Macaca fascicularis: one gene and its partners. The protein of the gene in region 2 purifies or fractionates together with the protein of the main gene of each other region. This does not show direct contact. Links are inferred from orthologs where the notes say so. Each region holds a gene or a part of one and is shown on either strand. Other genes may lie near its edges. The genes, in order: SLC30A5, METTL9 and SLC39A10.

Region 1 (4,269 bases), on a different chromosome or scaffold from region 2:
ATTCATCAAAATTCAACCAGTTCTGAGTTGAATTTGATTCTGCAATAAACTACAATAGAAGGGCAACTCTGCTAAGTAAATAGTACAAATAAAATAGCAAAGGATTGTTTACCACATTTCCCTACCTGAGACATTACGCTCTTTACACTCTTGAATAAATAACACTTTTAAACTACTCATTTAAAAATAATTTCCAGTTTACGTAAAAGTTACAATAGTATATCCTTTACCTGGACTCCGTAATTGTTAATGTATCATCCCATGTGATTTATTATTCTTTCTCTAAATGCACACACACAGGTTTTTCCCCTGGACTATTTGAGAGTAAGTTACATACTTCATGCTTCTTTATGCTTAAATACTTGTTTTTCCCAAGAACATGGACATTCTCTTATAAAACCAGCAGAGCTGTTTACTTCAGGAAATTTAAGTGATATGCTTTTTTTTTTTTTTTTGAGACGGAGTCTCGCTCTGTCACCCAGGCTGGAGTGCAGTGATGCGATCTCGGCTCACCACAACCTCTGCCTCCTGGGTTCAAGCCATTCTCCTGCCTCAGCTTCCTGAGTAGCTGGGATTACAGGCGTGCACCACGTCCAACTAATTTTTTTTTTGCTATTTTTAGTAGAGACGGGGTTTCGCCATGTTGGCCAGGCTGGTCTCGAACCCCCGACCTCAGGTGATCCGCCTGCCTCAGCCTTCCAAGGTGCTGGGATTACAGGCGTGAGCCCCTGCGCCTGGCCTGATATGATACTTTTATCTAATCTACCGTCCATAGTACAATTTTGTCAATTGACCCAGTAACGTCCTTTAAAGCACTTTTCCCCCCTACCAAATCAGACCAGAATTGCCTACTGCATTTAGTTGTCATGTCTCAATAATTAACATCTGATATGCTGTTATTTACAAAATGAGATGCTCTAAATAGATTAGAAAATTAAATGTATGCTACAAAAATGCAGTTGCTTTTTTTTTTTTTTTTTTGAGACGGAGTCTCGCTCTGTCGCCCAGGTTGGAGTGCAGTGGCGCGATCTCGGCTCACTGCAAGCTCCACCTCCCGGGTTCACGCCATTCTCCTGCCTCAGCCTCCGAGTAGCTGGGACTACAGGCGCCCGCCACCACGCCCGGCTAGTTTTTTTTTTTGTATTTTTAGTAGAGACGGGGTTTCACCGTGTTAGCCAGGATGGTCTCGATCTCCTGACCTCGTGATCCACCCGCCTCGGCCTCCCAAAGTGCTGGGATTACAGGCTTGAGCCACCGCGCCCGGCCGCAGTTGCTTTAAGTTCTGTCCTATGTGGTGTTCTTTCCTTTTTATAAAAAATGCTTATGTTGGGCCGGCTCGGTGGCTCATGCCTGTAATCCCAGCACTTTGGGAGGCCGAGGCAGGCGGATCACTTGAGGTAGACCAGTCACACCAACATGGAGAAACCTCGTCTCTACTAAAAATACAAAACATTAGCCAGGCGTGGTGGCCTATGTCTGTAATCCCACGTCCTCGGGAGGCTGCCGCAGGAGAATCGCTTGAACCCGGGAGGCGGAGGTTGCGGTGAGTGGACTCCAGCCTGGGCAACAAGAGTGAAACTCCGTCTCAAAAAAAAAAAAAACAAAAAACAAAAGGTTACTTTATAATGTTATTACTACAGTTCTAAAGAATTTATCACATTTATCACTTTCTTTAAATATCAAAGAAAGTATTTGTTCCAGAATGAGAAGAACTCGTTAAAATTGGAGGCAATGAACACAGTTCCAGCCAAATTGCAGGGCTATATTTTGTACATCTTTGACACTATCTCAGAATTTAGGAAGGACATACTCGAAAGTGGTCGCTGCACCTGTTGGTCCCTTACTTTTGGGGTTGGTGGGAGAACTGGAGAGAGGAAGTGGTAATTTTCACTTTTTACTCTATGAATTGCTGTGCTGGTTAGATTTTTTTTTGACAACGAAGACACATTTCTTACTTAAGAATAAAATAAAAAAAGAAAATAGGGCTGGACCCTCGATGTGCTCGGTTAATCTGAACATCCAAGTTCACGTATGTACTTTGGTTTCGTTGCCTGACGAGAGATGATGGTGACACCTTCCCCTAACTTATGCAGGGAAACGTCAGAGAGATTAAGTAGTCACCAGACTATTTCAGGGAGAAACAGCCAAGAGAAAGGCTTCTCACAGATCAGAAAAACCTCTCACTTGATCTGGCGGGCAGTTCTAAGATTGACTGACTGCCTTGTAACCCAGAAATTCAAGCAGAAGCTTTCTGGCTTTAGCGCCTTCATTCTGCAGCGGGCACCCGAAGGGCCCGGGGAGCCCGGAGGCAGCCTGCGCGCAGGGAGAGAGGCAGAGGGAGCGGGCGCGCCGACCCCGGGACGTCCCGGGCTGTCAGCGGGGACCGGACGGAGGCCTGGGAAGGTGTATCCTGAGCGGCCCGGCCGGTCGCTGCCTTTCGGATAGGTCCCTTACCGAGCGCTGGGTACGTCCACCGGCCCAAGGCCGCCGCCGCCGCCGCCGCCGGGGCCGGCCAGCACGTCCCCGCCGTATTTCTCCTCCATTCCGGGGCTCACGAGCCGCCGCCGCTGCCCCTGCCGCGGGGTCTCCTCATGTCTCGCCGCTGTCGCGGAACAGCGGGCACAGGCGCGTCACTCCCCCATGGCAGCTGCCCCGTCGGGTTCCCGCAGGCCGGGCCGCCGCTGCTGCTGCCGCTGCTGTCCCCGGCTCCGGCCCACTAGCACACGCGCGTCGGGACTAGGCCGCGGGCAGTTCCGGCGGCGCCAGGTTCCCGGGAGGCAGCGCCAGTAGGGACGTTGCCAAGCCACGTCATCAAGCCCAGCAACCCTCACTCCCAGGGGAGTGCCCAGCCTTGCGTCTGCGCAAGCGGAACACTTGCCTTTCCTCGCCGCTTCTTAGGCTCCTCCCGCCATGTTGTGGCGCATTGAAGCCCCGCCGCCTATCAGCCTCACCGGTTGGCGCTCCCGGTGCACTTTCCTGTCCCTGCAGTGCCACCTATGGGCCGTCAGAAGTACAGCGGATTCCTGCAGAGCAGAGGGAGGGGGCGTCGAAAATGTACAGCCAGTGTGATTAAACAAAGCTCACCAATCTTTTCCTCTGCGTTAGGGCTTCTTCTTCTTCTTTTTTTTTTTTTTTAGATGGAATTTCGCTCCTGTTGCCCAGTCTAGAGTGCAATTGCGCGATCTCGGCTCACCGCAACCTCCGCCTCCCAGGTTCAAGCGATTCTCCTGCCTCAGCCTCCCAAGTAGCTGGGATTACAGGCTTGTGCCACCACGCCTGGCTAATTTTGCATTTTTAGTAGAGACGGGGTTTGTCCATGTTGGTCAGGTTGGTCTCGAACTCCTGACCCCAGGTGATCCACCCACCTCGGCCTCTCAAAGTGCTGGGATTGCAGGCGTGAGCCACCGCACTCGGCCTAGGGATTCTTAATCCAGGTTAACATACCCTCTGCCTCTTAGGTTTTTGTGAGTATGGATCATTTTTGTGATAAGAAGGCCTCAAGTCTTAAAAGTTCAGGTGCCCTTCCCCCAACCAGAGATAACTATTTTTGAAGCTGTAGAGAATCGATTACAAATAGCGGTACAGCCATTTCTTTTGAACAATGCCTTTGATGGACTTTGAAGAGAAGAAACTAGTATTGTCCAAAATTTGCCTCCTCAGCAAACTATCCCAGGGCAATTTTCTAGGAGTGACCATGTGCGAATCTTCAGGGCCTTCTCTCCTACTCCTAAGGGAACGTAAAGGCAATTTCCAGATTTCTAAAGAAACATTCTTATCCTGGGCAACATGGCAAAACCCTGTCTCTACAAAAAATACAAAAAACAGTTAGCCAGGCGTGGCATGTACCTATGGTCCCAGCCACTCAGGAGGGAGAGGCAGGAGGATCGTGGGAGGTCAAGGTTGCAGTAAGGCGTGATCATGCTACTGCACTCCAGCCTGGGCAACAGAGCAAGAAAGTCTCGGGGGCGGGCGGGGGGCGGGGGGAAGAAAGAAAAAGAAAGGATTCTTCTTTGCCACAGGGAGCCTGGGGTCATCTATCAAATAAAATAACTGAGGAAGGTGACTGCTTTTGTGGCTTTTTGTGTGGGGCCTGGAGTACTGGTAACTGTCGTTGTTGGAGTTCCTGAAATCCAAGTGTGTAAGGACAGAACATAGGAGAAGGAAGAGGATTTTGTTAAGTGTTGCTGCAAACTGTTTTGTCTTCTTTTTTAGAATTGATTTTCTTTAAACTCTGCCTGTGAAACTGTGTAATTCAGGCACATCTGTAAA
Region 2 (4,093 bases):
GAGACTCAGTGTCAAGGAGAAAAAAAAAAAAAGCTGTTGGGTAAAGAATGATTTTGTTCCACATCTGTGGCTCACCACCCCACTGTTTCATAAATGAAAATCTCTGATGCGCAACATCGAATTAACCAAAAGGTTTACTTCTTTTGTTTTGAACTTAGACACATTTACATTATTTCTGGTGCAGTTAAAAGCACTTTCCAAACAAACCTAGTAAAGTATTAAAGTTAGGGACCCCCACGAAATATGTTACTCCTTAATTGTGGCGTGGCTATCAGCAGGAAGAACTGCAGTCACAGGAACACAGTGTACTTAACCCTTCAGTTCTGAAATGTTGCTAGGTCTTCTCGTGCTATAACTGATCAAATAAATATCCGGGTTAAACACTGCTCCCAGAGCTGAGTTCGCTCTGAGTGTTGGGTCCACCTTTCCTTGTTAATTCAAGGAAACAAGTCAGCCAAGGAGTCTAACTTGAGGTCTTCATTCTTGGGCAGGGCCATCAATACATCTAAAACATTACTTGTGGGTACCCAAGCTGCGGTAGCTTCCCTAAAAGGCAGAATTTTCACTCATTCCTTATAGAAACACGTAGCCAGCAACTTCTCAGGCTTGGGGAACGGGGCAGGCGGGTAGTGGTGGTGGGAAGGGGAGAGGAGAGGAGGGAGTCTAGCAGGTCGGTTCTAAATGCAAACTGGAAACTACGCATCGGAGCGGGTAACCAGTACTGGCAGCATTCGTCTCCGGGAAGAACCTGTGTGTGTCAGGATGCACAAAAGGAATGACTCCCCTCTTTGCGCCCCCGGAGTTAACTGCACGACCCGGTCAAAGTCCCGCCGTGGAGTGGGATGACGGTCCAGAGGTAACGACTAAGGCCAGGAAAGCCTAGAGGTCCTTCCGGCACCACCTTAGAGGGGCAGGAGGGCTGCAGTTACCGCCTTCGGAAGTGATCGCCTCACGCCTCAAAAAAATTAAAAGCACCTCCGCCATTACCAGAGGCCGAGGCAGGGCCGGGACACGAGAACGCCCTCCGGGCGGATGCGCGCTCCCTTTGTCCCGCCTCCCAGCGGCCCGCTCACTGGACCGAGGGAGGACGCCGGGAGAGAAAACGCCGCGGCCGCTCGTAAGTGCTCCGGGTAGAAACTGGTGCAGGGGGCAGTGGCGTTCCGCGGTCGGAAGGGATGGGGGAGGAGCCGAGGCTGCGCGCCGGCTGCTCCTCCCCACCCCCAGCCTCTGCCCTGAAGGGGGCTGGATGGGCAAGTCGGACGCGATGGCTCGAGCTCGGGCGGTGGCGGCTGTGGCCGGAGGCGGCGGTGCCTCCTCCTCCTCGCCCCGGCGCCGGCGGTGATCGGAGCGAGCTGCCGCGGCCCCCGATGAGACTGCTGGTGGGCTGGCTGTGCCTGAGCCTGGCGTCCGTGTGGCTGGCGCAGAGGATGTGGACGCTGCGGAGCCCGCTCACCCGCTCCCTGTACGTGAACATGACAAGCGGCCCGGGCGGGCCGGCGACGGCCGCGGGCGGCAGGAAGGAGAACGACCAGGTACGGGTCGGGGCTGGGGCCGGGGCGGGGGCGTGGCGGCCCGGCCTTCCCGCGCTGGGCCCGGCTATTGTGCGGGGCGGTTCCGCGAGGGGGCGGCCCGGCCCTTGCCCCTCCGCCTCGGCCTCTCGGAAAGTTTTCCCCGCGCCTTCCCCTCCGGGCGTCGGCTTCGCGAGCCCCGGGGACCCGGGCCCGGCCCCGCGAGCGCCTTTTGTTCCGCGGCGCAGGCGGGGCATGGCCTCCCCTTCCCCCTCCCGGGCCCGATCGCGAGCGCCCCGGAGCCCCGCATTGTTCCTGGGTCCCGGGCGGTGACTGCGGACACCCGGCGGCGGGACTGGGGAACTTTGGGGCCAGAGCGTGACCGGGGGCGCCCGCTTGGCACCGAGGCCTGAGACTGAAGAGACCCGGCCAGATCCATTACCCCCGAGAAACAAAACGAAAAGCCAGCACCTCTTTTTGTCTCGATGAATCGCAGAACGTACAAAGGGTCGTAAAAGAAATGTAACTGTACATCGCAAGCCATTGAACTCTCCGGGCTGATTCGGGTGACATTTCCCCCTAAGCGCTTAAAAAATGGGTTTGACAGGTTGTCGCTCCCATCCTACGGAACCTTCCCCTCCTACCTAGCAGAGATCTCCTTTAAACTTGGATTTAGTCAGCCTGCTGGAAAGATTGTGTGTGATGAGGAGGAAGATTATGCAAGTTTTACAGGAAGCATTTTTAAAACCGAACGGGACGGGAGGGAGTTGTAGTTATGCATCGTGAGCGTTGCGCTGTGACCTGGTAGGTAGGCTTTTCATTAGCTCGGTCTTGTGCCACTTAAACGTGTACAGGTTAACTGTAGAATTAGGTGAGATGTTTCGTATTTGACCGTAACACAGTTTGCAGTTAATGTTAAATTCATTGAAAAGAGGCTTTTGAACTCTGCCAGAGTGTTGTCTTGTCATAGCTAGCATTTATAGTACATTTTGCTTTTCCATGGATCACTAATTATTCCCTATATCATCTTGTGTCTCATCATTTTCATATATTTCTCATTTTCCTACGTTACTTTTTTATTATGCCAGGTGTTCAGAGAATTTACACCCAGGTTGATTTCATGTGTTTTAATGAGGGTAGAGAATTGTCTAAGAAGGAGATAGAGCAATTTAGAAAAGTAGCATTTCGTTTTTAGTAATATTTATATTGGACTTTTTTCTATTTGTAAAGGAATGCTAAATTTCTGTAAATTTTTTTGAAAGCCTTCAGCCACTGCAGTTTGTTAGATGCAATTATCAGTATCATTGATCACTTGTATGATATGGTTAGGAATGTACGTGAACTTAAATTACAAAGCCACATTTATTCCTATGGATTTATGATGAACTTATACTAGTTCATATAGAGACAACTCAAAGTACTGTACCGTTAATTGTACAGTTATCAGAATGTCACATATGGAACAGTGGTGTAGACAATGAATTAGAAATGTCATTTTTAACATTTTTAAGCAGTTGATAGAAATAAGGTGCTGGATAGGAGAAAAAGCGGTTTATCTCCATTGATGTGGGATTATGATTGAGTCTCTTAGCTATTGGTATTTATGATAACACTTATCATGATTACCCCTCCTGCAGCCACTTGATATGTTTTCATTGCTCATAAAAGAATTGCACTTATCTTAAAAATTGAAACACTGTTTCAACACTGATTTGTATGGAGGTGGAATTACAGCTGTAGACATAGCCTCAGAATATCTCCCAGCAGAGGATACTTTTCTAATTGTGGACCTTTTTAAAGCTGAATCTGTTAGGTTCTAATGAAGACTAATACTGGTTTCAGATACATTTATTTCAGATACTATATTTATATTGTGTGTGTGTGCGTGCGTGTGTGTACCCCTTCACTAACAACTGGGCAGATAATTTCTTTAGGGTGAAGACTTAATCCGGTATTTTCTGAATATTTGGGGGAGGGGTCAACTCTTTTCCTTAGAATAATGAATCCAGACATTATTTTGACATGAATACATTCATATTATGAAGATAATAGTCCATGAATAAAGATTAAAATGAACAGAAGAAAGCTGTGTAGAAACCACCATGAGATAAAGTAGGAAACTGTCCTTTCTGCACTGTGGCTGAGTTGATAATTTGTTTTCCACTTAATATTCCGGGATCCTGTGTTTGCCTTATAACTTCGTTGCTTGTGAAATAACTGTAACTGTTTTTCCTCCTTCAGATTAATAGTTTTATACAAGGTCTTCTAAGTGTTCAGTTGGGTGTGTGAGTTCCATAGCCAGCCACATCTGGTTCTTTTGGAGTTGCATAAAAGCAGGGTTGTGGATTTGATTGAACCATACTTAGTGCAAGTTTTCCTTCTGGTTATTTTATTAAGGAATTATGATGGAGGATTCTGTGGTTAAAAGAGAGATCTTGGGCAATGTTTATTCATTAAAAATTGCTATTTTGTTAGTGTAGTTTGGAGAGGCAAGGCTCCTTTGGGCTAAAGCTGCTCTAAAACTGTAGTAGCAGTGCCATTTTAGTAACTTGGTTTGGTGTGCTAGCTTCAAAACTGGGATTATG
Region 3 (3,647 bases), on a different chromosome or scaffold from region 2:
GCATTATTTTTAACATGTGGTGCTTCTCTCTTTCTAGTATGTCGAAGTTCACCTTCATTATCAGGATCAAGATCTTGGTGTCCATGACCAGGATCATGACCATTACGTTCTGGAAGATGTACATGAGAATGACCTGGGTTATGTACACGATCAGGTTTGTGGACCCGATTATGCTCATACTGTTCACCCTGATCATGGTTAGGGGGAAAACCTGGTGTAATAACCTCAGAATTTTCATTACTTTTCCTCCCTTTTTTCTTCCTCTTTCCTTTCGGTAGTTTAACATCAGATTGTTCCTGGGTTTTATTGGTCTCTGTTGAAGGTTCATTGCTAGGCTCCCCACGCTCACTGGGAGTAATGGAATCGTTATGAAAATGGTGAGTATTGTTATGATCAAGATGATGATGCAAACGATGGTGATGACGTAGGCGGTGATTATGGTCATGCATATGTTTATCATCAGATTTTACAGACACTTCAATTGTCTCTTTCTCTGGATCACATTTATGGTTTCTTTTTGTTGATACACTGGTCACAGTTTGATTTTCTGAATTTAAATGATTATGGGAATGCTGGTGGTTATGTGAGTGAAAATGCTTTCCCTCTTGAACTGCCAAAATATCTAAGTGAGAAACATGATCGTGGCCAAGATCCTCATGATTAATCTCAACTACTTTTCTCTCTCCAAGGCCCAAGTTTGTTAAAAGTTTCTCCAAACCAAAAAAGGATAATCTTCCATTTTCACCATAACGCTCAAAAAGTTTTTCAATATAGTATTTTTTTTCATTTTCAGCAGCTTGCTTTGAAAATTTGCTTGGCTCCAATTCTGTCATTCCACGATGCTGTCTGTGAAGCGCCTCAGGGCCATGGTCATGTTCTTCATGGCAATGGTTGCAATGATGAAAAATAAATGTCAGCAAACAAATGAGGCAAAATTTTGTGTGCATATGTACCTTCATTTCTATTTTTCCTAAAGAGATTTAAAGAGACAGACAAGTATTAGTTTCTACCTAGACACATTCAAAACAATCACAAATTCTCTAGAAGTTGCCAATCCACTAAAAAAAGTTTTACTCCATTTCCTTCATGATAAAATATGTTAAGAATCAGAGAAAAGTGAAACTGTCATTATTCACAAATGGTAGAATTAATTATGCAGCATGCCTTAAAGAATCTTTAAGAATTAATAAGTTAGTTTAGTACAGTTACTGCATATAAGGACAGTAATAAATTATATTCTGATACACCAGCAATAATTAGAAAACAAAACTCAAAAATAGTAACATTTACAGTAGCAAATAGCTAGGAATGTATCTAACCAAAGACATACAAGAATTTTACATACAAAAGAGAGAAATTATTGAGAGAAATATTATTGAGAGAAAATTATTAGGAGAAATAAAAGACCTAAATAAATGGATGGCTATTTCATGTTACGATTGGATAAACTATGTATCCAATACAATCCCAGTCAAAATCTCAGAAATTATTTTGTGAAAACTGATTAACTGTTTTTAATATTTATGTGGAAACGGAAAGGGCCAAGAATGGCTAAGATGTGTTCCTTGAGGAACAAAATTGAAGCATTCACTCTGTGAATTATTAAAGACGCTGTGGTATTTGGTGCAGTAACTAACAAATAGACTAAAGGAACAGAAGACAAAAGCTAAAAACCAGAAAGGATGGTCTTTTCCTTGGTGCTTGGTCAATTAGGTTTCCACACAAAAGGAAATAATAAATAAAATCTGACCCTTACCTCACATTATTACAAAAATCAATTGCTAATAGCTCGTGAACATAAATCTGAAACAAGAAATGCTAAAATGATAAAGTGTCCAGAACTGTCCAGTTCAATGGTAGCCACTAGTGACATATGGGTACTTAAATTAACTAAAATTAAATTTAAAATGCAGCCTCTCAGTCACCCTGGCCACATTTTAATTGTTCAATAGCCACATGTAGCTAATGTCTACTATGTAGACACAGAACATGTCCATCATTATAGATAGTTCTATTGGACAAGCATACTTCAAGAATCTAGAAATATAAGAGCCAATTACGTAGTTTTGAAGTTTTCCAGAATAGATGAAACTAATTTCATACTATTCTATTTAACCCATTATATCCAAAATATTATAACTTCAACATCTAATCAATATAAAAATCATTAAAATATTTTACATTCTTTTTAATACTACGTCTTTGAAATCTGTCATGTATTTTACACTTACAGCACATCCTAATTCAGTCTATTTATATTTCAAGTGCTCAATCGACACATGTGGCTACTGGCTACTGTACTGGAAAGTGCAGATCTTGAAGATTTGGAAGACTAATTTTAAGACCTTCGAGAAAGAACACAAAATTGATAATATATTACACTGAAATTAAGAATTTATGTTTCATCAAGAGACATCCAAAACAAAAACCTAACTAAAAAGGCAGGCTGCAGACTGGAAGAAGACTACCACAATGTACATTAAAAGATATATAAGGAACTTCTACACATCAAATGAAAATTACAGTAAGACGACCCAATGAAAAAATGAGTAGGTAACTTGAACAAGCACTTCATAACAGCCAAACTGCTAAGAACCAAATGAAAAGATGTTCAGCTCAGAAGTCTTCAGGAAACCAAATTAAAATCACAATTAGACACCACTATATACTCCATAAAAAGAACTAAAATATAAAATACTGCCAATATCAAAAGTAGGCAAGAGTATATAGAGTTAAATGGAACTTGTGTACAATGACAGTAAGATTATAGATTGTATCTTCTGAAAAACTGTTTGGCAAGATCTGCCAGAAGCTGAAAATAAGCCTATGCACTCGCACAGCAATTTTAGTCTGGGGTATATGCCCAACAGAAATCCATGTACATGAATACCATCATGAATATTCACATAACCATTATTTACCACAGTCAAAACTTAAAAAAGGCTGGGCATGGTGGCTCACACCTGTAATCCCAACACACTGGGAGGCCAAGGCAGGCGGATCACTTGAGGTCAGGACTTTAAGACAGGCCTAGCAAACATGGTAAAACCCTATTGTTACTAAAAGTATAAAAATTAGCCAGGCATGGTGGCACGTGCCTGTAAGCCCAGCTACTCAGGAGGCTGACACAGGAAAATAGCTTGAACCCAGGAGGCGGAGGTTGCAGTGAGCCGTGATCGTGCCACTGCACTCCAGCATGGGCAATACAGACAGACTCTGGTCAAAAAAAACAAAGAAAAAACAAACAACAACAACAACAAAAAACACCTGATAAAAGCCTAAATGTTCATCAACAATAAAATGATAAATGAAACAGAAAAATCTATCACACAGGAATAAAAATGAAATTACAGCTTCATGCATAGATGAATTTCACAAATATTGGGAAAAAAGTGACAAACAAAGAAAGCAGTATAATTCTTATATAAAGGTAAAAAGGAATAGAACTAAACTATGTGGGTTTTTTTTTTTCTTTTTTTTTGAGACAGGATGTCACTCTGACACCCAGGCTGGAGTGCAGTGGCGCAATCAAAGCTCACTGGAGCCTTAAACTCCCAGGCACAAGCGATCTTCCCACTTAGCCTTCCAAGTAGCTGTGTGTACCACCACGCTCGGTTTTAATTTTCTTCTTTCAGGGATCTTGCTCT

What was found.
Region 1: the proteins of METTL9 (region 2) and SLC30A5 purify together in Homo sapiens (co-immunoprecipitation; 3 studies listed by BioGRID and IntAct, with this or other methods). This does not show direct contact. The link is inferred for Macaca fascicularis from reciprocal best matches to the Homo sapiens genes METTL9 and SLC30A5.
Region 3: the proteins of METTL9 (region 2) and SLC39A10 purify together in Homo sapiens (co-immunoprecipitation; 3 studies listed by BioGRID and IntAct, with this or other methods). This does not show direct contact. The link is inferred for Macaca fascicularis from reciprocal best matches to the Homo sapiens genes METTL9 and SLC39A10.

Annotation. Positions count from the first base shown.
Region 1 is NC_088380.1:74,748,774-74,753,042, reverse strand, and holds the start of SLC30A5 (proton-coupled zinc antiporter SLC30A5), read right to left. Parts: upstream 2,811-4,269; 5' UTR 2,544-2,810; coding exon 2,455-2,543; intron 1-2,454. UniProt on the Homo sapiens protein: Together with SLC30A6 forms a functional proton-coupled zinc ion antiporter mediating zinc entry into the lumen of organelles along the secretory pathway.
Region 2 is NC_088394.1:21,447,275-21,451,367, forward strand, and holds the start of METTL9 (protein-L-histidine N-pros-methyltransferase), read left to right. Parts: upstream 1-1,225; 5' UTR 1,226-1,367; coding exon 1,368-1,532; intron 1,533-2,277; exon of another isoform or gene 2,278-2,312; intron 2,313-4,093. UniProt on the Homo sapiens protein: Protein-histidine N-methyltransferase that specifically catalyzes 1-methylhistidine (pros-methylhistidine) methylation of target proteins.
Region 3 is NC_088386.1:91,310,373-91,314,019, reverse strand, and holds part of SLC39A10 (zinc transporter ZIP10), read right to left. Parts: intron 971-3,647; coding exon 1-970. UniProt on the Homo sapiens protein: Zinc-influx transporter. When associated with SLC39A6, the heterodimer formed by SLC39A10 and SLC39A6 mediates cellular zinc uptake to trigger cells to undergo epithelial-to-mesenchymal transition (EMT).